7 linked regions of the Kluyveromyces lactis genome follow. The protein of the gene in region 7 interacts with the protein of the main gene of each other region in a pairwise test. Links are inferred from orthologs where the notes say so. Each region holds a gene or a part of one and is shown on either strand. Other genes may lie near its edges.

Region 1 (2,404 bases), on a different chromosome or scaffold from region 7:
ATCATCCGAAGCCGATTCTAACACTGTTTTGATCGACGCATCGAGACAAAACAACTTCCATTTCATTGTCATCTTGAAAGACATAAGTAATGATATCTTGCTAATAGTGAGATCCCAAGGTTACCCCTCCAAATGGGCCAAATGGTTACAATCCGATGCACTAAGCGATGAGGAATCCACAGAAAAAATCGACCCAAGTGATTGGGTGAAACCATGGATATCCGAAGGTCTTGATCTAACTTTCGGTATTCTTGCCCAACAATACGTCATAAGCAGAATGAATTTGTGAAGTGTCTTTTACATACATATTTTAAAACCCTAATTACTGTTATTAATCATCATTATTATACTCCCATATCAGTTTTTTGGTAACCATTTCTCTTTCAACGATTGAACCGTCGTGCCTAATACAGCTTTTTCCCAGTCAACCCATAAGCTCGTCTGTTTATTCCAAGACCCATTCTCGACACATTTCTGCAATGGTGACCCAAATAGTGGATCCTCAGCAGCTTTTTTCAAAAGAGATTCCGTCTTAGGAATCTGTTCCATTAAGTCGGGCTTATCAATTTTTGCCAAATATTCCAATTGATCTCTAGTAGGGAATTTCTGGCATATTTCAATGTTGATTTTGTTCTTGTGGTTCGATTTTAATGCCGTTAGAAGATTTTGAGCATGAGATGATTCTAATTTGTGTGTGAATAATGTCACTACGCGAGGTTGAAATTGGATGGTTTTAAACATAGACATGATGAATTGAAGATACTGATTGTCAATGTCCCCCTCTATAAAAAATTCGAACTTTTACTCAGTTAAATACTTCAGTCTAATTAAGTCAGGTCACCCCAGTAATTGTTGCTGCCTTTATATACGCAATACTAAATTAAGACATCTTTGAAATATGTACATTTTGGAAATCATACTATTATCCCTCAAATACGCATGGCAGGGAAACAAAATCCCGGAAAATCCAGCAATCAATACTATGATACGGAGTCATGACGTCCCTACTTAGTATCCGGATTGGCAGCACCTTTCACCTACTTGGAAACAGAATCATCAAGCTAACCATTTGTGCCTTGTCTGTGCAATGACTATGCGGTCCTGTAGCAAAGGTAGTCATCCTATAGTTACCCTGCCTCAACGTTACCATACATTTTTTTTCTTCAATTCGTTTCAGCTAGCTCAACATCAAATGGAATTGCAATGAACTGCCAAAAAGATGAATCGTTGGACGCTTTAACGGCCTATTTATCCTTCAAGTGATACCCAGAACTATCACAATCAGTGTTGAATTTTACAATTCATTATAATCTTTTTTTTTTTTTTCACTTGCTCATTGAAAGAATCAGAGTCTCAAATTACAAATGTCCTCTTCGTCTCCGAATAGCGACAGAGCAAGTTCAGTAGGAGTTACTGAACCAGTGGCTTCCGATGTGGAAGAAAATCGTCCTAAGTCCAAGCTATCAGAAGGTGAAGCAGATTTATATTTGGACCAATACAATTTCACAACTACAGCTGCCATTGTTGGCTCAGTAGACCGCAAGATATTCGTACTATTGCGCGATGGCCGTATGTTCTTCGGTGTACTAAGGACGTTTGATCAATATGCCAACTTAATACTACAGCATACGGTGGAAAGAATATATATCGAGGGTGAGAATAAATATGGTGAATGTGACAGAGGAGTTTTCATGATAAGAGGTGAAAACGTTGTTATGTTGGGCGAAGTAGACATCGATAAGGAGGATGCACCATTGGAATCGATGGAACGTGTTCCATTTGAGGAAGCTGAAAGCTATAAGGAGAAAATGGACGAGGTGAAATACAAGGAGAACACTGCTAAGGGTAAGAGACTAGCGCAGCTTGGTTTAACTACCGATTTCAATAAAGGTGATTTGTATTAAGTATAAGATTATAATTAGTTTAAAAGACAAGCAAAAAAAAATCGTAAAACATACAATTCGAAACTAAACTAAACTAAACTAAATCATTACACAAACTGGAGATCGTGTGGTTTTGAAGGGTATTTATCTTTTGATACTCAATTATATATCACATAGAGATATATATATTCACTTATATATGGTTCGGTACTGTACTATTCATAATAAGTAAAATGCATAGATAGCGCGGCATGGCATTCCAAAAAAAAAAAAAAAAAAATTAATGGGACAATAATCCCCATTTGACATAAAATAGAACCATTATAACGGTCAAAATTAATTCTTAACTAACGGATCAACTCATTTGCCAGCGAGCGTCGTTAATTCTTGATCGTATGTCTTTTGAAATTTGTTATAATTACTGATTTCCAACCTCCCCAGTTGTGATATTAATGATTCGTCCGGCGTATCATTAATTCTTAGCGATCGACTCACTTGCCACATATGTGACAAGGGTGTTT
Region 2 (4,286 bases), on a different chromosome or scaffold from region 7:
CAAAATTGACCGCGTCTTTATCGTATTGGTTAACAGGATGCGTAGCACTTAAGCGCGATTGTGTATCAAAAGACTGTCCATTCCAATATTGTTGGTTCAATAACGAAGACAAGTCCGTGTTTGGAATAAAAGATTTTTCAACGACGTTTTGGCCACCGAATGAGACCAAACTTTGAGTGTCAAAGTCTCTCTGACCAGCATATTGTGTATAACTACTGTTGTTGGATGGGGCTTTCCTGGGTGCCCTAGAAGGTTTCGTCAATTGGACTGTGCAGAGTTGTAAATTATCCAAAAACCCTTCAACAAGACAACCCTTTTCTCTGAAATGAAGTAGTAGATGACTCCATAAGCTATTGCGAGATAGTGCCCTTGGGTTACCCAATATTATTAGACCGTATTTAGCACGAGTCAACGCAACATTTAGACGACGTGGGTCACTCAAGAAACCAATGGTGTTTCTCTCATTGGCACGGACACAAGACAAAATAATATAGTCTTTTTCTCTACCTTGGAAAGCATCTACTGATGCCACTTCAACGCCCATGTACAATGATTTTTCCATCGAACCATTCATTTGCATATATTGTACAACATATGCTCTCTGCCCCTCATAAGGAGTTATAACACCAATCTGTTCTGGTTTGACACCATCTTTGAATAGTCTTGTAATGATCTTTTCACAGTTCATGGCTTCAATTCTGTTCAAGTAGGAAGTACCATTGCCTGAGATCTCTTCACGACCATAGTTAGCCCAAAACATCATAGGGATAGTATGAATTGGCCATGGAAAGGTAGATCTTGCAATAGTACGTTGCTCGATGGTGACACCATTCTGTAAACTACCTTCGTAGAACATGTTGCTTGGGAATTCGCTTAATTGTGGATTCATTCTATATTGGACTTCCAATCTAATAGGAATGTGACCCAAGGAAATTAATCTTTCAAACAAAGATTGTTTCAAACCAGCGTCACCAGCTTTTCTATCTAAAATGACAGGACCAAGTTGCTGATGATCACCAACTAGAACAACTTGTTTGGCTCCCTTGACGATAGGGATCAAACATTCAGGTTCTGACGCTTGAGTACTTTCATCGATCAATACTGTGCGGAACTTATAGTCCAATCTTTTATCACCAGCGCCGACGCAAGTACAGCAAATAACATCAGCTTTTTGAATGATGGTAGCTTCTGATTTTCTCACTAACTTCACAAATTTCGTGGTATCCGATGAGGAAAGTTCCCCTGTTTTTTCCTTAAGATTGAGAAGTTTTTTGAGTTTACCTTCTGCAGACCTGCTGACCAAGTTATGCAATGCTAACTCGGACACTGAGCTCTCCACATCTTCTCTACTTTTAGCAGTTAATCGTACTACCTTTAAACCCATACTGTGCAACTTGGCAGCAAGATGATCCACTGCAACGTTAGATGGTGCACAAACTAAAACACGCTGTTTGTGGATTTTAGACAAATGATAAACAATGGTAGCTGAAGTGACGGTTTTACCGGTACCAGGAGGTCCCTGGATCAATGATAAAGGTCTTTGTAAAACATGCTTCACAGCATTACTTTGAGATTGGTTTAACTCGGTGAAGTGAGGCACAAAAATGCTTTTGGGTAATTCTACATCAAATTCCACATCTGGAACCTCTTGGCCCAATATCTTATAATACAAGAACCCTGATAATGATTTTTTGGTGACAGCAAATTTTCTTAACGCTTCTTGCATTCTAATATAAGAAGTTCCCCTCCATACAAAAACTGCTGTAAATCCTGTAGTACAATTAGTTGGTGGAGTTTTTTGACTTGGTTTCAATTCAAGAGTAAATTCATCTTTGAAACTGTTTGGTAGCTGGATGATGAAACCTTTTCCTGTCCAATCTGCATGTTGTGGACCACTATACTTTAAAATCATCTCATCACCAACGGCAACTTTTAATTCGTTAGATTCGAATGTGGATAATGCAAAAGTAGCTAGATGTCTGTTGTTCAATGCTAAATCCCATGTGACAGAGATGTGTTCTAAGGCCTGTGATTCCTTTAATTGCTTATCATAATCTGCTTCTAACTGAATCAAAGGACCAAATGATCTTTGGTACTGATAAGCATCAGTGTATCTCATCAAAGTCGGAGGAATATCTTCATCTTGTTCGACCATATCAATATCCATAATTGTAGCGTTTTTGTTTGATTTCCATCTTGCTTCCAATTTCGTAATTTGAGATGGAGTAATCATCCTGGCCTTCAACTGATCTTCTTCACTTGGTTCTTCTGCCACCCAAGATAGCATCTTCCTTTCTTCAATAAGTGGTTGCCAGTTATCTGTATCCCAATTAACATTCTTCATTTTAGCACAAGGCAATCTGCACAACAAGACCACAACAGCCTCACTCTTAGCCGGAACAAAACCAAGAACAAACACATTAGTACGTCCACAATTGTAGCATTCCAAAGTAGTATCTCCTAGCTCTGAGTCTGGATGTAATGAAACTGAAGAATGATGGGATAAAACTAAATGGTTCACAATATGGGAACTATTAGTACCATTTTTCGAATTACAAAACCATTTGCTGCAAATGTTACACTTGACAACACATGAAGTATTATCAATACCACAATATGCACAAGCATGTTCCGCAATAGGATCTGTATTAGCAGCAGTGCCGTGGAACTCAGAGTATTCCTCGTCCAGCATCTCATCAGTATCGTAGAAAAAGTTTTTGTCGTCATCGTCTCTCAAAGAAACAGATTCGTTTGAGTCCGAATCTGAATCAAACGGTTCATTTGGCAAACGCATCGTCATAAGGAAACTTGATTCTAATTGTACTGAGATAATAAAGGCACCAGTCGTGTACAATCTACTTCAAAGAATAGCTTTGAACAGAATAGATCGAACTAACCAAAAAAAAAAGTTCGCAAGAAATGAGTCAGAGTCACAAATCAAAATATGTTACTCAGCACATTGATAGATGCTCAATTTACAGAACTTCTTGAAAATACAGATAAAGTGATATAGGAAATAATAACTGTTGAAGCATATTATGATTAAATACTTTTATGTATGGAAGTTGATGCATTTTCTGATGAGATGTGAGATGAGATGTGAAGTACACAAACTGAAAAAAAAAAAAAAGAATCAGCAAATGCATGCAAAAGTCGGGTAATTAAATAGTGATTAGGTGACAGTCTATGTCCTATTACGTTTATATATTTGATGCATGAGGGTATACTGATGATTATGATTGGGGTAACTGAGGGTGGTTGAAGACTGGGGTTGTGAATTTTATTATGAGAAACTCTCTGATAAAGCCTGTTCAATGAAAGACTTTCTTCTTTTTCTTGCGTCCAAAAATGGTGGTGGATGTGAAGATGAATATTGGTTAATTGATTGAGTTCCTGACGGTATTTCTGGTATGGTTCTATTAGTGTAGGTGTTTGGATTGGCAATTGTGCTATTTGAACTTTGAGGTGAAGTTCGTAATGACATTTTTGCCAACGATGAAGAGACGGTGTCTTCTGTTCCATGAGTTGAAGCTTCGTCTGACAATTGTTTTGACTTATCAAAGAAGGATTCCGTCGCTGAATCCAATTCAGAACTTACGTATCTCTCCAAGCTGTATAAGTGTGTTGGAATGGCATTTGTAGATAAGCTAATGGACGATCTTGATCCATTGGAAGATTTAGGATCTATTGCGCCCTCGTCAGTGATATTAGTTGGGGATCCAAAAGAGAGACTGTTATTATTTATGGTATTGTTTGTATCTAGACATCCAACAGAAGAAGCAATGCTCTGTCTTGTGGGTTGTTTAGACAATGGAATGACTATACTGTTTGTCCTTGAGACTGGGTTTGAATCTAGCGAGAAACTGTATCCATTGTAAGAAGCGGACGATTTCGATCTAGGTTTCCTTAGCCCGTGGCAGTTCGAACATACCACACAACCACACTTTGATGGTGATCCAATTTTCCCCTTCAAAGAAGTATCTCCACGCATCATATTCGAACGGAATGGGTTCCCTCCAAGCTCTACCTCCTGAAACTCTTCTTCATTATCACTGGGAATCTTATAGTACAGCGTTTCCTCCTGCAATGGATTCAATTCATACAGTGAATCTTCTGCACGACTGTGTATCTCGAGTGGTTCTTGATCATCATTGTAAAAAGTAGAGCAAAAGGGGTCCTGCACTGATCTCTCAAATATGGAGCCTCTTTCATTGGGACAACCACAATGGCACACTAAAGGCTTTACTCCTTCATCTGATTCCAGACGTTCATCCAACATGGAAAAA
Region 3 (2,242 bases), about 2.0 Mb from region 7:
CATCATTTATAAAAACTTCAGCAAATTATTTTTTTGCAGTCGAGATCTGGCCCAAAATTAGGCGAGACACCATCCAAAGGGACAACAACATGGACAATGTATACTCGAAAAGGGATCTTACTACCTATGTTACTGTACAATTATTGAGTTTATAGTAGGTATCCCGCACTAAGTACTGAATATGTTGTGTGCCTGGAGATTGCATAATCTTGAAAGCATTTATATCACGTGATCTCCCGGTGCAATTACGCCAACGCAAACCGCAGCCTGGTCGTTTATTACATAGATCAATAGTGTTGTATTGCAGTTTGGGGATCTCTGACGTTTTTTAACACAGCTTTCTTTTCTTATATTAATAGTCATTAAACCTTTTGTAGCTCAATCAAGCTTTTGGAACGGAAAATTAGTTCAGTGGCCATAAAGAACAATCGAGAGCAAGGTTTAATTGGAAAAGTAAAAACACTGAAGTATAAATGGTTAATTTAGTAGAATACAATACAATAAGTGCAATAGTACATGCAACAGTTAATCTTGAAACGACTATCACAGTCTACAGTGATACGTTGACCGAGTCAATAGCAATTATTCTGTCGTAGCTTCATACTTTCAATTATGTCTGCAGGAGAATCAAAATACTACAAGGAAGCATTAGCGGAGTATCAGGATATGGATAAAGAAGATCCTGATGCCTGGGACAAGAGAATATCGAACACAGGCTGTTACGTAGAGAATCTAGCTTTACAACTTTGCCATGCAGAGACTAATGATTGGAGACAGTGTCTTGGTGAAATGAAACTGTTCAAAGATTGTTGGCAATCCAAGGGTAATGACCAGAGAGTGGGGACAGTCGATGCAAAAGAACATTGAGATTTGCATTTACAGGTGTAAAAAGATCCTTCACTGTGAAGCTTTGTCGAAATACTCCACATATTGTATATAGACCCATTTAATTGTATATGCGAATACCCATCTGAATATTTTTAGTCTACGCAGCGCAACATTTAAATTGACATATTTTAGTTAAGGATAATGAATAATCGTTTCAATACAACATTTACACCAGAACATAACGAAATTTAACCAGTTCCCGGACCATAGGTGAAGTTTCCAAGTAGAATTACAGCAATAGTGCTTTATTGATGATTAAAAGACCATCAAATAGTAAGAAGAAGGCTAATCTTCGAAGATTGACAGGTGCATTAAGGGATTTGCTAGGCGAAGAGGAGCCAAAGAAAGAAGAGAATCTAAAACAAATTACTCGAGATGGTGTGGTTTACATCATGTCTAAAGAGAATCGATTAATTCCTAAATTGTCAGACGAAGAGGTTATGGAGCGTCATAAGAAAGCAGACGAGAATATGAAACGCGTATGGTCCCAGATCATACAAAAATATGAAAGTATAGATAATCAAGGTGATGTAATAGATTTACAAACTGGAGAAGTCATAGAAGATAATGGCCATTTACGAAACTTGAGCAACGAAAAATCAGTTCTACATAGTTCGCTACCAGATGGTGGTTCAGTGTCTTATAAAAGTGTTCTGAATGACATTATGGATATTAAAGACTCATCATATAATTCATCGGTTTGGCAAGATCACGAAACTAACGATTCAGAAACAGGGTCCGAGTCTGAATCTGGTCTCGAAGCCGATGGTTTAGATGAGGGATCTGGCTCTGAAGCAGATAACAGTAATGAAGTTTATATGAAGAAGTTAAGACCTAATCCTGAAAGTAATTAGTTCAGGCGCTTCAGATATTCATTTATCACTGTGTTTACGGTTCGTTCATGTATTGATATATTTTTAAAGGTTTTCTAGCAAATTCGAAGCTTTCCATCTTTTATCGATCTAGCCTTGAAAAAACCACAACAAAAGTACAATGAGAACGGCTGAAAAAGAAGTATAAATTGAGTAAAGTCCATTAGTAACCTCTCTTGACAAACCCAGCTTGTATCATTGATCTTAAAGGTAGGTTACGGCAAAGCGGTTGTTATTTTGAAGAAGCAAACTAACCCTGCATTATTTCTACCTACGTGGAGAAAAAAGTACACATACGAGTTAGCTCATTGAATTTGAATATGAGTGAAACAAGACCTAAGACATTTTTCGATATTTCGATTGGGGGCAAACCTGCTGGTCGGATTGTTTTCGAGTTGTATTCTGATGTTGTTCCAAAGACGGCGGAGAATTTCTTAAAACTCTGTGAAGGTAACTCGGGATTTGCCAAATCCAAACCGGAT
Region 4 (2,071 bases), on a different chromosome or scaffold from region 7:
TTTTGGATGTAATCTGTCAATAGTAGAGTAGCTAGGTTCTTCTTCTGATGTTGTGGAGCAATGACGACAGAATGCACTCCAATGACAGGAGAAGAATCGTCTTGTGTGAAACTCATGCTTTCGTTGGTAATAAAAGTTAATTCCTTGGTACCGTTTTTTGGGATGGGGATCTTGGTACCAAAGATATGGCCAATCAACTTTTCTCCCAAAATCTCAGTGCCTTTAACGTCTCTAATGAAAAGACCCGAGCTCAATTCGGGGCACATCTTCAATCTGAATTCGATCTTCTCCTTTCCAGCCCTTTCTTCAGGTGGGAAGCCTTGTGCCTCTAGCTCTACTGATGCTTGGCAATCTTCTATCGTTAATGGTCTAATATAAACATGCAGTGGCAATGACGATGACATAGTGAAAATTCTTTTCTGATTTTATAATACTTAATAATGATTTCCTAATGTTGTTTCTTCAATTCTAGCCACAATAATACAATTATTTGCTCCTTATTCTAGTTTGCTTCTAAAATCAATCGAACCTTATTATCAACAATGGTATTCAACTCCTAGACCAATTGATTTTATCAACTAGTGTTAGACAGATATGATGTCTTTGTGAACTGCTCAATAACGGAAGTGATAGTCTTGTGAGATGTGTGTCTATATGTATTTGTTATCCTTATCCTTATCATCATATGTAAAACCTTAGTATATATGATTGATATTGCAATTGAATTGTTATTTTGATATTGTACAAAGGAGAAACAACAGTTGCGGCAAGAATATAGAAATTACGCACCACTTGGTAGGAATTTGTGAGTGATAACCAAATCTAAAGTTGACAGAACCTGTAAATACCGGACTGGCAAGTTGAATGGTCACCAGAGGCTTAATCTTGGACCAGAACGCCAATCATCACAGCTGGTGAACAGTGTCTCAGGGACACCTGATGTTCGTGTTTAGTGAGATGTCATGTGACCCGTACCGTCCGTTCCTAGCGAAATTGCATGTTGTTTAAGCCTTTGTAGCCAACAGCACCATCAAGTCGATGCCAATAGATACAACATTCTTGGCCTACCTTGTAGCAGCTTTTAAGGCTTTTTATGGGCTCATTTCTTTACTTTATTGCCTTCTTTCGGCCAACTACGCTTACTTTCACCATACAATCACATATTGAGAGAGCTTTGAAAGTTTCAAGAAATAAGTACCTTTGATCAAAGAGATAAAGCTGTGAGCTGACGACAACTACTGTCTATTAGTATCATTAGACTATTAAAACCTCCTGCTCTACTACTGCATCAACACATATTTATAAAACGACGGGATATGAGTAGTGTTTCAGAGATTTTGCCCCTAGAGGTCATTGACAAAACAATAGGACAGGAAGTGACCATTCTACTTAAAGATTACAGAGAATTCTTTGGTACGCTAGTAGGGTTCGATGATTACGTTAATGTTGTCATTGAAAATGCGGTAGAGTATTTGGAAGACCAGGAGATTAAAAGATTCCAGGGAAAGATGTTATTGACTGGTAACAACATTGCTATGTTGATACCTGGTGGAAAACCTGCTTCAAATTAAACAATGGAACTGCATATTGATGTTCAAAACGAAATCTGTAACATGCATGCTGTTTTTTTCTCTCTCAGATGTTTGGTATTGATATATTGACTAACATCCTTTGTAAGTATATATTATATATTTTATATGTAAAATAATTATCATATTGAAGTGCAGCTTATACAAAAAATGAATCAATGCAAACGTACGAGACGTTTGATATACCGTATCCGAAGGTTTGTTGATTTTTGTTGTTCAACTATATCATGCCAAGGGATCGAAAAACCATTCGATCTTAGTGTTTTCAAAAACTCTCATACCCATAGTTTTTGACTCTTTCATTTTGTCCAAGGTAGGATCAGCCCTGGTTATTAGCCAAGGCTTGATAACTTTTGGTTGCAAGACGTATTTGTTGATCAAGATGTATGAGATTACAGCATAAACGGCACCGACGAATAAATCGTATCTGAAATGGTGATCCAAATATTGGGTTGACCACCATTGTAAGCATACGAAAATCG
Region 5 (2,001 bases), on a different chromosome or scaffold from region 7:
TAGAGGCTTATCACATTTGTAGCAGGAGAAACAGTGGGTGTGCCATCTATTTCCGCCTAATTCGTACGCATGACCCATAGTAATATGGTTCGTACAACGAACACATACTGACGTCTCAGCAGCCCCCTTCGGAGAGGCAGACATACGGTAATTAGTTTTGCAGATGTAGCACGCTGTGGAGGTGATGGTCTTGTAGTGTGTTCGTTTGTCCCTGGATCAATAACTTTTTGATCTAATGGATCAAAAGCTGAAAAGAAATCTAAGATTAATCTTCGAATCGAAAGTATAATAATAACAGAACACGCACAAAGAGCACGACACACCAAAAAAAAAAAAAAGTTAATAGAGAGATGTATTAGCAGCGGCTTTATACTATGATATTTTCTTGCCACGCACCGTTAGAGAGTACTATATAAGGGAAAAGAATTCCAAGCTGTTCCTCGTGGACGGAGTAAATTCCCTCAATATGAATGTTGAGATCGAAATATAGATACGAGGGTTCAATTAACTCAAGGAATGTTTTGATCGAGAGTGAATGCAGCCCTATCTTGTTAAAATCCGAAACGTTTGAAGCGAGTTGATATAAATAAATCGTGTCTCAATCTTGATTATATATATGTACAATCGGTCCTAACCAGTGCTAAATATGGAAGTCAATTAGATAGGGAAACGTAAACAGCACACCACGTCAATTATATTCTAGCTGAATTGATATAGCATATCTATCAGCTGCAGAGAGCCACTAAGGTAAATTAGTGCTGTCTCTCAACGGTTTCGAAATGTATATATGCATTGAAACAAAATCAGGAACCAGGTTTGAGAATGTTTGAACTATGTGGTGTGCAGGCGTGATTTGGAGTTCAGTTTCTTTGTTTCAAGGTCTTAGAGTTCGAAGATTTTGGCTAAAATTGGAGTCAAAGAATGCTGGTTGTTGTCGGAATGTATCCAGGAAGAACCTTTGACATTTGTTTCCAAGCTAGAGCAATATATTACTATAATCTGCGCTGTTCCCTTCCATTCATTTAATTAATTAATTTATTACTTACTGCATATCACTTAATTCACTTTACCACAGATCACGTGACTAGAACATTCTTTCCCTTTTACTTCAACGTGAACAATGAAAAGTGAACTTTGTTAATATAACGTTGAACTGATGGAGAATGATGAGAGTAGGTTCAGATGCAAGAACTACAGGCTTCTTCATATCTTTATTTCGACGCTACCAAATTTCAAAGGCATAGATTGTTAACACATCATGGAATCTAAGGCAACGGCTTCTGGCTCCTTTTTGGAGAACATCATTGGAAAACCAGTATACGTCAAGCTATTCTCAGGAATATTGTATCAAGGTAAGCTAGAATCAATTGATGGGTTTATGAACGTCACAATGTCACAAGTGTCGGAACATTATGAGGCAGAAGAGAACGGAACTTTGCATAAATATCCTTCTGAAGTATTTCTAAGGGGATCGCAGGTGTTATACATTAGCGAAAAATAGGCTTCGATTGGGCAATAAGATTGACTTCGACCAATGACTTTTGTAAGTCGATATTATAAAGTGTCCTATTTGCTCAGAAGCTCAATAACTACAATAATATGATAATACTAATAATAATTTATATACAAAAGTATATAATTGTATACTATAAAGATGGAACGTTATCAAAGCGGAAAGTGTTAAAAAATACTACGATGCACATATATAAAGCACCAAAGCATACATAAATTTAAATTCTGATTTTATTTTAAAATAATAAGAATATGTAGATATCTAATACAATAATAATATATATTAACCTTGTACCAGTGAGTTATACATTACTCTTTTCAAATTTTTATATCATGATTCTTAAAAGAGAAAATTTATTGTCATATCGTTAGAGAAAAGGAGATCAAAGAGGTTCCTTTCGTAGTTTCTTATTTATTCTGTGATAAAGAAAGCTTTCAGATCAAACAAACCGCGAACCTCATATCATGTTGTAGTTTTTTTTTGAGAAT
Region 6 (1,973 bases), on a different chromosome or scaffold from region 7:
ATTGTTAAATACAATATACAGGACGATACTTATCAATGTGGTGCGCCTGGATTGAAACCCTCTGCGTGCACACCGTTATTCCTGGAGCTATTCAAGACGCTGGGTGCCTCGTGCGTCATACACACGCACTCTATCAATGCGGTGCTTTGTTCAATGATATATGAGAAGGAGTTTACCATCAAGGACATTGAACAAATCAAGGCGATACCCAAAGGTGACGGTACCAATTTGAGGAACGTTGATACCCTACGTATTCCAATCATCGATAACGCTCCAGAAGAACAGGATCTCATGCCAGCGTTGAAGCAAATGATTAAGGATTATCCAAATGCATGTGCGGTACTGGTGAAAAGACATGGACTCTTCGTTTGGGGCCCCACGCCAAAGAAAGCCAAGATATACATCGAGTCCATCGATTACCTCTTTGAAGTAGCTCTCAAAATGAAAGAACTCGGTCAATGAAAGGGAGACCAGCAGCTGTGTATAACATTATTTATATTTCATCTGTTAGCCCATCGCTCACTCCAAATGTCTATTTCTTCTTTAAACGGTAACTTATTCTTACACGCTGGGAACTTCTGAAGTTTTGCCAGTTCTTTTTCTTCTGGTATATCATCTATCAGCCCACATAATACCACTTCACTACTCCGTATAATGCATATCTTGCTGTCCTTTAAAAGAATCATGTTTCCCGCATGATCAAACCCTTTCATTTCACCATAGTATGTGTCTCCATCGACATTGACCAACATCACCTTCTTGTCCAAATAATCTTTCAATAGAGCACTCATTGTCCATTCACTGTTCTAGCAAACAAGGGGGCAGTTATGTGGATATCTTCGCTCCGATGGATCGTTATCTTTTCTTCGTTACTATTATAATTTGAAAGTAATGTTTTCTATTTGAAGATTCTCTATTATCAATAACAACAACATCTTCAACAAAGAAGAATCACACATCATAACAGAAGTATACAGGCTTCTACAGCAGTTATCTAGAGTTGTGTTGTGGCTAATATTGTTAGAAGCTCCGAATCACGGTTGAAATGGCGGAAGAGAATGAAAGTGAGACCGATTACGGGTCTTCTCCCTTTAAAAAGATTCCAGACGCCGACAAACAGATCTTAGAATGGACTAGTCGTCTAGAGTTGGAGACTGTGCAGTTGCGGGACACGTCTGAGAGTCTATTCAAGATTATCAAGGAGAACGTGGATGAATTGAGCCATTCGCGAAAGTTATTCCAAGCAGAACTTGACAGTAGAAAAGGTATGGTTTCTATGCACAATGAAAGGAATATCTACTTAGTATAAGGGCATTTACTTAGTTCTATCTACGTGGATTGGTCGTTGATTGATACCCTTTAGGAATGATTCTTTGTAAGAGTCACTACGGTCAGTTTTTACTAACTAGGAAAATAACGGATGAGACTCCGAGAAGTCGCCGTTATTTCTGTGTGTATTTAGATGGTAATCAAGAAACGGGAACGGAGATTGTCTCTGAAGTAAAGTCTCGTTTGGATCAATTAAAGGCATCAAGCGGTGAAAGTTTGCAACTTTTAGCGGATAATATTACGAAGCAGATGGATAAACGACATCGAGAATGGATGGACAGATTTACCATGAATGAAAATGTCATGTTCAATGTCGTGCAACAAATGCAAGACCTCACGGATGCCATCCAGACGTTGCATGAAGATATGAGGTTAGCTAGCAAGAGGCAGGCGTTGCTTGAGAAAAGATTGAGACATGAATCTATCGCTACGCCTGAATCTCAACACCTAAATCAAAACCAGACACAACGACTCAGGGTATTAATCCCCTGGGAAGAAGTTCAAGAGTGCGAAATGAAATGATTGACCACATTTCTGTCGGCATCGATGGCAATGGTAAGATTTGTTTTGCCGAACGCGGTGTTCGGGTCAATGAAGTTTTTATAATATAGTTCATAACAAGGCATATATCTATCAACAAACGC
Region 7 (4,232 bases):
GGATTGAAGTGTTCTAGTAGATGGAAATATGATACATTTGTAATAGTAAATAGAAGAATTACTTAGATACTATAAAGCTGACTTTTTTTTGCAATTTTTTTCCTTGAGATTTGATTTCGAATTTGTAGCACACAGTTAACAGTGGCAATCGAGATAGGGGCTGATCAGAGGAGGCGCACGATATCGATCACTTCAGTTCAGTGATTTCACCATCACGAGCAACAAGACCCATGACATTCAAGAACAAGTTCAAATCCTGATAGAACTTGTTTCTTTGATAAGCCAGTTTAGGGTCTTGTTGAGAAGGGGCATTTAGTTCTTCAGCCTTTGAAATGACTTCGAAAATTTCGTCTCTCACTTCATCAATCAATATACGTTGATGGTTCAATTTTCCGCTCAAAGCAAGCGATGCAAGGAACTGCCAGATGTAAGATTGATCATACTGAGTAGAATCCTGTTCATAAACTGAAATGGCGTGTTGCATATATTCAGGTGTTGGGAAAATTGCAGTCAATTTTGTTTCTAAAGAAGTAAATAGCCTATCATAGACTTCACTCCAAGTGGATACTTCCACAGAAGACAACAGTTTGCCCCTGCTAACATCTTGTTTCATCAAAGCAGCACGTGAAATGAGCACGGTAATCAAATTCAAACCGATACGCGATGTGGTGATGAAAGAAACGTTATTATTCTGAATGACATTTATTAGTAGACTCATTACCTCCAAAAACTCTGCTGAACTGGATAAGAACGAAACAATGATCTTCAAAAACACAGATTGGAACAATTCCATCTTCTTCAGTTGATCTTTAGTAGGAAGTGGAGTAGTCTTGTACGATGATATGACAATGACATTCAAATGAGAAAGTTCCTTGAAGAAGCAGTTGAAAAGCTTAATCTTCTCTTCTCTTGACAAGAAATTCATAATACGTGGCATAATCTTGATACCTTTGTCGAAAGATAAGATGGAAATGAAGGGAGAAACGTCAAAACCGTGGTCCTCAACGTGTAGCGCCTCCCATAATTTTGAACTGTCCGGCTGTTGACCGGATCTCAATTGAGCTTCTAGTTCAAGCACTTCTTCGTAAACAGTTTCAATCAATGATAAAATGAACTTACGGCCACCAGAACGGGATAAAACTGTACGATGGTCCACTGAAGAACTCAAAGCATAAGATGATCTTCTTCTTTTGGCATTGATATCCACGCCTTGCAAAGATTCAGACACCTCATCTAGGGCTGAGCTTGATTGAGAAGACAACGCTGGAGAATCCTCTTTGTGAGTTGGGATTTGTAATTGCTTTCTTGGAGCTTTTGAGTTCCTAGTAGCTGAGATTTTACCCAAGACACCCTCTTTGGCATTATCCAACCCACCCTTACTTTTCTGTGGTCTTTCTTTCGCAACGGTAACAGCCTTCTCGACCTGAGATTGCATTCTCTGTAACGCGACGTCAGTTCTCTTGTAACGACCTCCTAATCTGTGACCCGAGTGCTCTAAATATGCTTTAGCAATAGAATCCTTATTAGATTCAGATGGAGTGACACCCCTTTGAATGATTTTATAAACTTGGAAGTAGAAATCCTCATTGTAGGGATCATCAGTGACAATTTGAGATAACTGATACCTGGTGATAAAATCCTTGTCTCTTGGAGTCATTACACCAGAGTGTCTGAGAATTTTGTCAACCTTCGATTGTCTGATTTGAAGACGTCTCAATTCTTCATCAGTCAAAGGATCTTGGGTGCCAAACCTCCTTGGACCACGGCGATACTCTCTAGGTGTATGAGGTGGAGTTGGCACCTGCTCTGATTCTGTTGGCACAGGTGTTGGAGAGTTAGAATGCTCATAATCTTGAGTAGAACGGACAGCTTGGGTTCTAGCAGCAGTGTCAACGGAGTGAGGCTGTTGGAACACTTGTTGCTGTTGGTGTTGTTGTTGGTGCTGCTGATCTTGTTGGTGTTGTTGAGGCAAGTATTGGGGAGGTAACTGCTGTTGGTGGGGCTGCTGGGGCTGAACAGGAGGTTGATTTTGCATTGGTGGCATAGCCATCTGCGGATGTTGCATATGATGTGCAATGTTTCCTTGTGTTTGATTGTACATTATCGGTGGTACTTGTTGGAATTGTTCCTGAGGGTTAACAGGTTGATTAGGAAATCCGGCATTACCGAATTGATTAGGGATAACAGGGGGAATATTTTGCCCAGGGAATTGCTGGTATTGACCTTGAGGGAACCCTTGTGGAATAAAGCCGTAGCCAGGGTTCTGCGGAGGTTGCATACCATAGAATCCAGGTTGAGGCGGCATAGCCATCTGTTGTTGTCTGTCTAAAGATTGAATGGCCAATCCTTCCACATTAGGTGCACCTTGCTGTTGAACCTGTGGTGGGGCTTGGAATTGTGTAGGGGCTTGAGGTTGCACCTGTTGTTGCTGATTACCGGAGCTGTTACCCCATAAAGATTCCATAGGTTGCATGTCCAGCGATTGTTCGAAACCAGGTTTACAGTCTGCTTGTCTGTTCATTTTGGCATTTGCAATAGATGCATAAGAAACAGGAGCTGGTGCTGGTGCCCTACCAGAACCTGAACCAGCGCCAAGCTCCCCTTTACCGTAACCAAAATCAAAATCTGTACCCAGATCCGCTCCAGTACCAAAAGTTTCATCATTGAGCAAATCATCTTCCTCTGGCTCATAATCACCCAAGCCTTGATACGTTTCTTCGAAATCTAAAGAATCCTCCTCGCCTTGCTGTTTCCTCTCACGAGGTTTTCGGCCCGTGGCGTCAAAACCGAAGAATGACATCGTTCAGTGATTCAGGAATATAAGGACTCCTATACTAATTGGGCAAAAATCGATTTCTAGATCAGAATTGTCGACAAATCCTATTATATTCTCTTAAAAACACAAGTAATGTGATTTAAGTCGCTACCTGCCTGCGTTTCGTTCAAGCAATCTTCCAACAAACGGTCTCTGAATATCTCTGATCACTTATTTTTGAGCATAGAAACTACTTTGCTTGTTAAGTGAATTACATTTTTGGGTTGTTGTTTGATGAAAAATTTCACCGTGCAAGATGATATACATATTAAGGATTTCTAGTTCAAAATTTGAAATTCAGGTCATGTGATTTCAAATATTTGACATTTTTCAACATGGTAGTTTAGAAAGTTCCAATACAAACTCGTACGTAGTCTTTCTTTCCTTCATTAGCAGCATATATAAAGTGATTGCGAATAGACAAAGATGACATATACTACTAACATCCTAGGTACAGCTATCTGGAAAATATATCAGCTTAGCAGTTTAGTCTTAAACCTAAGTAATAAAAGATATCTGATCTAATAGCAGTGACCAAGTTCTAATAATTTTAATCTGATTAGCAGTGAAAATACTGATTTGTATGAAGATCTGAATCAAGTATAGTGCTCGAAAAGAATCAACTCAGACTGGTAAAGTGGACTTAACTGCAACTTGGAGAGTACGAAATATCTAAACTATAATCTTGGATTTGATACTAGAAAATGAAACAGAGATTGAGTTCGTTAGATTTGCAACTGATATCCAAAGAGTTGGAGAATCAAATTGTAGGATTTCGCTTAAGAAATATCTATAACATTGCTGACTCAAACAGGCAATTCTTATTAAAGTTTGGAAAACCCGATTCCAAGTTAAACGTTGTCATTGATTGCGGATTGCGAGTTCATACTACTGACTTTACCAGGCCGATTCCCCCGACTCCTTCGTGGTTTGTTTCCAAATTGAGATCGTATTTGAAAGAAAAACGATTGACGGCAGTTAAGCAGATCCCAAATGACAGAATAATTGTGTTTACTTTTGCTGATGGTAAGTACTACCTTGTTTTAGAATTTTTCAGTGCCGGAAATGTGCTTTTATTGGATGCTGACCAAAAAATTCTTTTACTACAGAGAGTTGTCGATGATTATTCGATGAAAGTTGGTGAATTTTATGACATGGCCAACTTTGCAGAAATTAACCAAACTTCAACTACGGTTCCTGATCCTAAGGAATATTTCGAAAATGAAATAGCAGATTGGTTGAAAGAAGCCGACGTTAAAGCCAAAAGCACAATTGTGCCCGGAGAGGCTAAAAAAGGTAAACTCAAGGGAAAAGCATCTGTTCCGTCTATTCAAAAACTTTTATTTGTTCATGCTCCACATTTATCAAGTGATTTGATTCAAAACTCGTTGAAAGCTATTGGTATTGATCCATCTTC

What was found.
Region 1: the proteins of PAT1 (region 7) and LSM1 interact in binary tests that used the Saccharomyces cerevisiae proteins (3 or more experiments, as listed by UniProt). The link is inferred for Kluyveromyces lactis from reciprocal best matches to the Saccharomyces cerevisiae genes PAT1 and LSM1.
Region 2: the proteins of PAT1 (region 7) and NAM7 interact in a two-hybrid assay, tested with the Saccharomyces cerevisiae proteins (2 studies listed by BioGRID, with this or other methods). The link is inferred for Kluyveromyces lactis from reciprocal best matches to the Saccharomyces cerevisiae genes PAT1 and NAM7.
Region 3: the proteins of PAT1 (region 7) and SCM3 interact in a two-hybrid assay, tested with the Saccharomyces cerevisiae proteins (2 studies listed by BioGRID). The link is inferred for Kluyveromyces lactis from reciprocal best matches to the Saccharomyces cerevisiae genes PAT1 and SCM3.
Region 4: the proteins of PAT1 (region 7) and LSM5 interact in binary tests that used the Saccharomyces cerevisiae proteins (3 or more experiments, as listed by UniProt). The link is inferred for Kluyveromyces lactis from reciprocal best matches to the Saccharomyces cerevisiae genes PAT1 and LSM5.
Region 5: the proteins of PAT1 (region 7) and LSM6 interact in binary tests that used the Saccharomyces cerevisiae proteins (3 or more experiments, as listed by UniProt). The link is inferred for Kluyveromyces lactis from reciprocal best matches to the Saccharomyces cerevisiae genes PAT1 and LSM6.
Region 6: the proteins of PAT1 (region 7) and LSM8 interact in a two-hybrid assay, tested with the Saccharomyces cerevisiae proteins (2 studies listed by BioGRID). The link is inferred for Kluyveromyces lactis from reciprocal best matches to the Saccharomyces cerevisiae genes PAT1 and LSM8.

Annotation. Positions count from the first base shown.
Region 1 is NC_006041.1:1,347,993-1,350,396, forward strand, and holds LSM1 (Lsm1p), read left to right. Parts: upstream 1-1,364; coding exon 1,365-1,904; downstream 1,905-2,404. Other genes in the region: DUF5427 domain-containing protein MTC1, read left to right, coding at 1-289; FMP46 (putative redox protein), read right to left, coding at 358-747; KLLA0_E15181g (uncharacterized protein), read right to left, coding at 2,244-2,404. UniProt on the Saccharomyces cerevisiae protein: Component of the cytoplasmic LSM1-LSM7 complex which is involved in mRNA degradation by activating the decapping step.
Region 2 is NC_006038.1:566,422-570,707, reverse strand, and holds the start of NAM7 (ATP-dependent RNA helicase NAM7), read right to left. Parts: upstream 2,801-4,286; coding exon 1-2,800. Other genes in the region: MBR1 (Mbr1p), read right to left, coding at 3,284-4,279. UniProt on the Saccharomyces cerevisiae protein: RNA-dependent helicase required for nonsense-mediated decay (NMD) of aberrant mRNAs containing premature stop codons and modulates the expression level of normal mRNAs. Also capable of unwinding double-stranded DNA and translocating on single-stranded DNA.
Region 3 is NC_006042.1:503,592-505,833, reverse strand, and holds SCM3 (Scm3p), read left to right. Parts: upstream 1-1,139; coding exon 1,140-1,742; downstream 1,743-2,242. Other genes in the region: COA4 (Coa4p), read left to right, coding at 613-867; peptidylprolyl isomerase CPR6, read left to right, coding at 2,081-2,242. UniProt on the Saccharomyces cerevisiae protein: Centromeric protein that plays a central role in the incorporation and maintenance of histone H3-like variant CENPA at centromeres.
Region 4 is NC_006041.1:902,701-904,771, reverse strand, and holds LSM5 (RNA-binding protein LSM5), read left to right. Parts: upstream 1-1,316; coding exon 1,317-1,571; downstream 1,572-2,071. Other genes in the region: PAA1 (polyamine acetyltransferase), read right to left, coding at 1-404; IPT1 (inositolphosphotransferase), read right to left, coding at 1,815-2,071. UniProt on the Saccharomyces cerevisiae protein: Component of LSm protein complexes, which are involved in RNA processing and may function in a chaperone-like manner. Component of the cytoplasmic LSM1-LSM7 complex which is involved in mRNA degradation by activating the decapping step.
Region 5 is NC_006041.1:232,660-234,660, reverse strand, and holds LSM6 (U4/U6-U5 snRNP complex subunit LSM6), read left to right. Parts: upstream 1-1,258; coding exon 1,259-1,501; downstream 1,502-2,001. Other genes in the region: GTPase-activating protein RGA2, read right to left, coding at 1-144. UniProt on the Saccharomyces cerevisiae protein: Component of LSm protein complexes, which are involved in RNA processing and may function in a chaperone-like manner. Component of the cytoplasmic LSM1-LSM7 complex which is involved in mRNA degradation by activating the decapping step.
Region 6 is NC_006041.1:1,467,258-1,469,230, forward strand, and holds LSM8 (U4/U6-U5 snRNP complex subunit LSM8), read right to left. Parts: upstream 792-1,973; coding exon 501-791; downstream 1-500. Other genes in the region: methylthioribulose 1-phosphate dehydratase MDE1, read left to right, coding at 1-462; TDA10 (putative ATP-dependent kinase), read right to left, coding at 1,830-1,973. UniProt on the Saccharomyces cerevisiae protein: Component of the nuclear LSM2-LSM8 complex, which is involved in spliceosome assembly. The LSM2-LSM8 complex plays a role in the biogenesis of the spliceosomal U4/U6-U5 tri-snRNP complex by accelerating PRP24-mediated annealing of U4/U6 di-snRNA.
Region 7 is NC_006042.1:2,529,516-2,533,747, reverse strand, and holds PAT1 (deadenylation-dependent mRNA-decapping factor PAT1), read right to left. Parts: upstream 2,801-4,232; coding exon 188-2,800; downstream 1-187. Other genes in the region: RQC2 (Rqc2p), read left to right, coding at 3,520-4,232. UniProt on the Saccharomyces cerevisiae protein: Activator of decapping that functions as a general and active mechanism of translational repression and required for P-body formation. First decay factor recruited to mRNA, at a time when the mRNA is still associated with translation factors.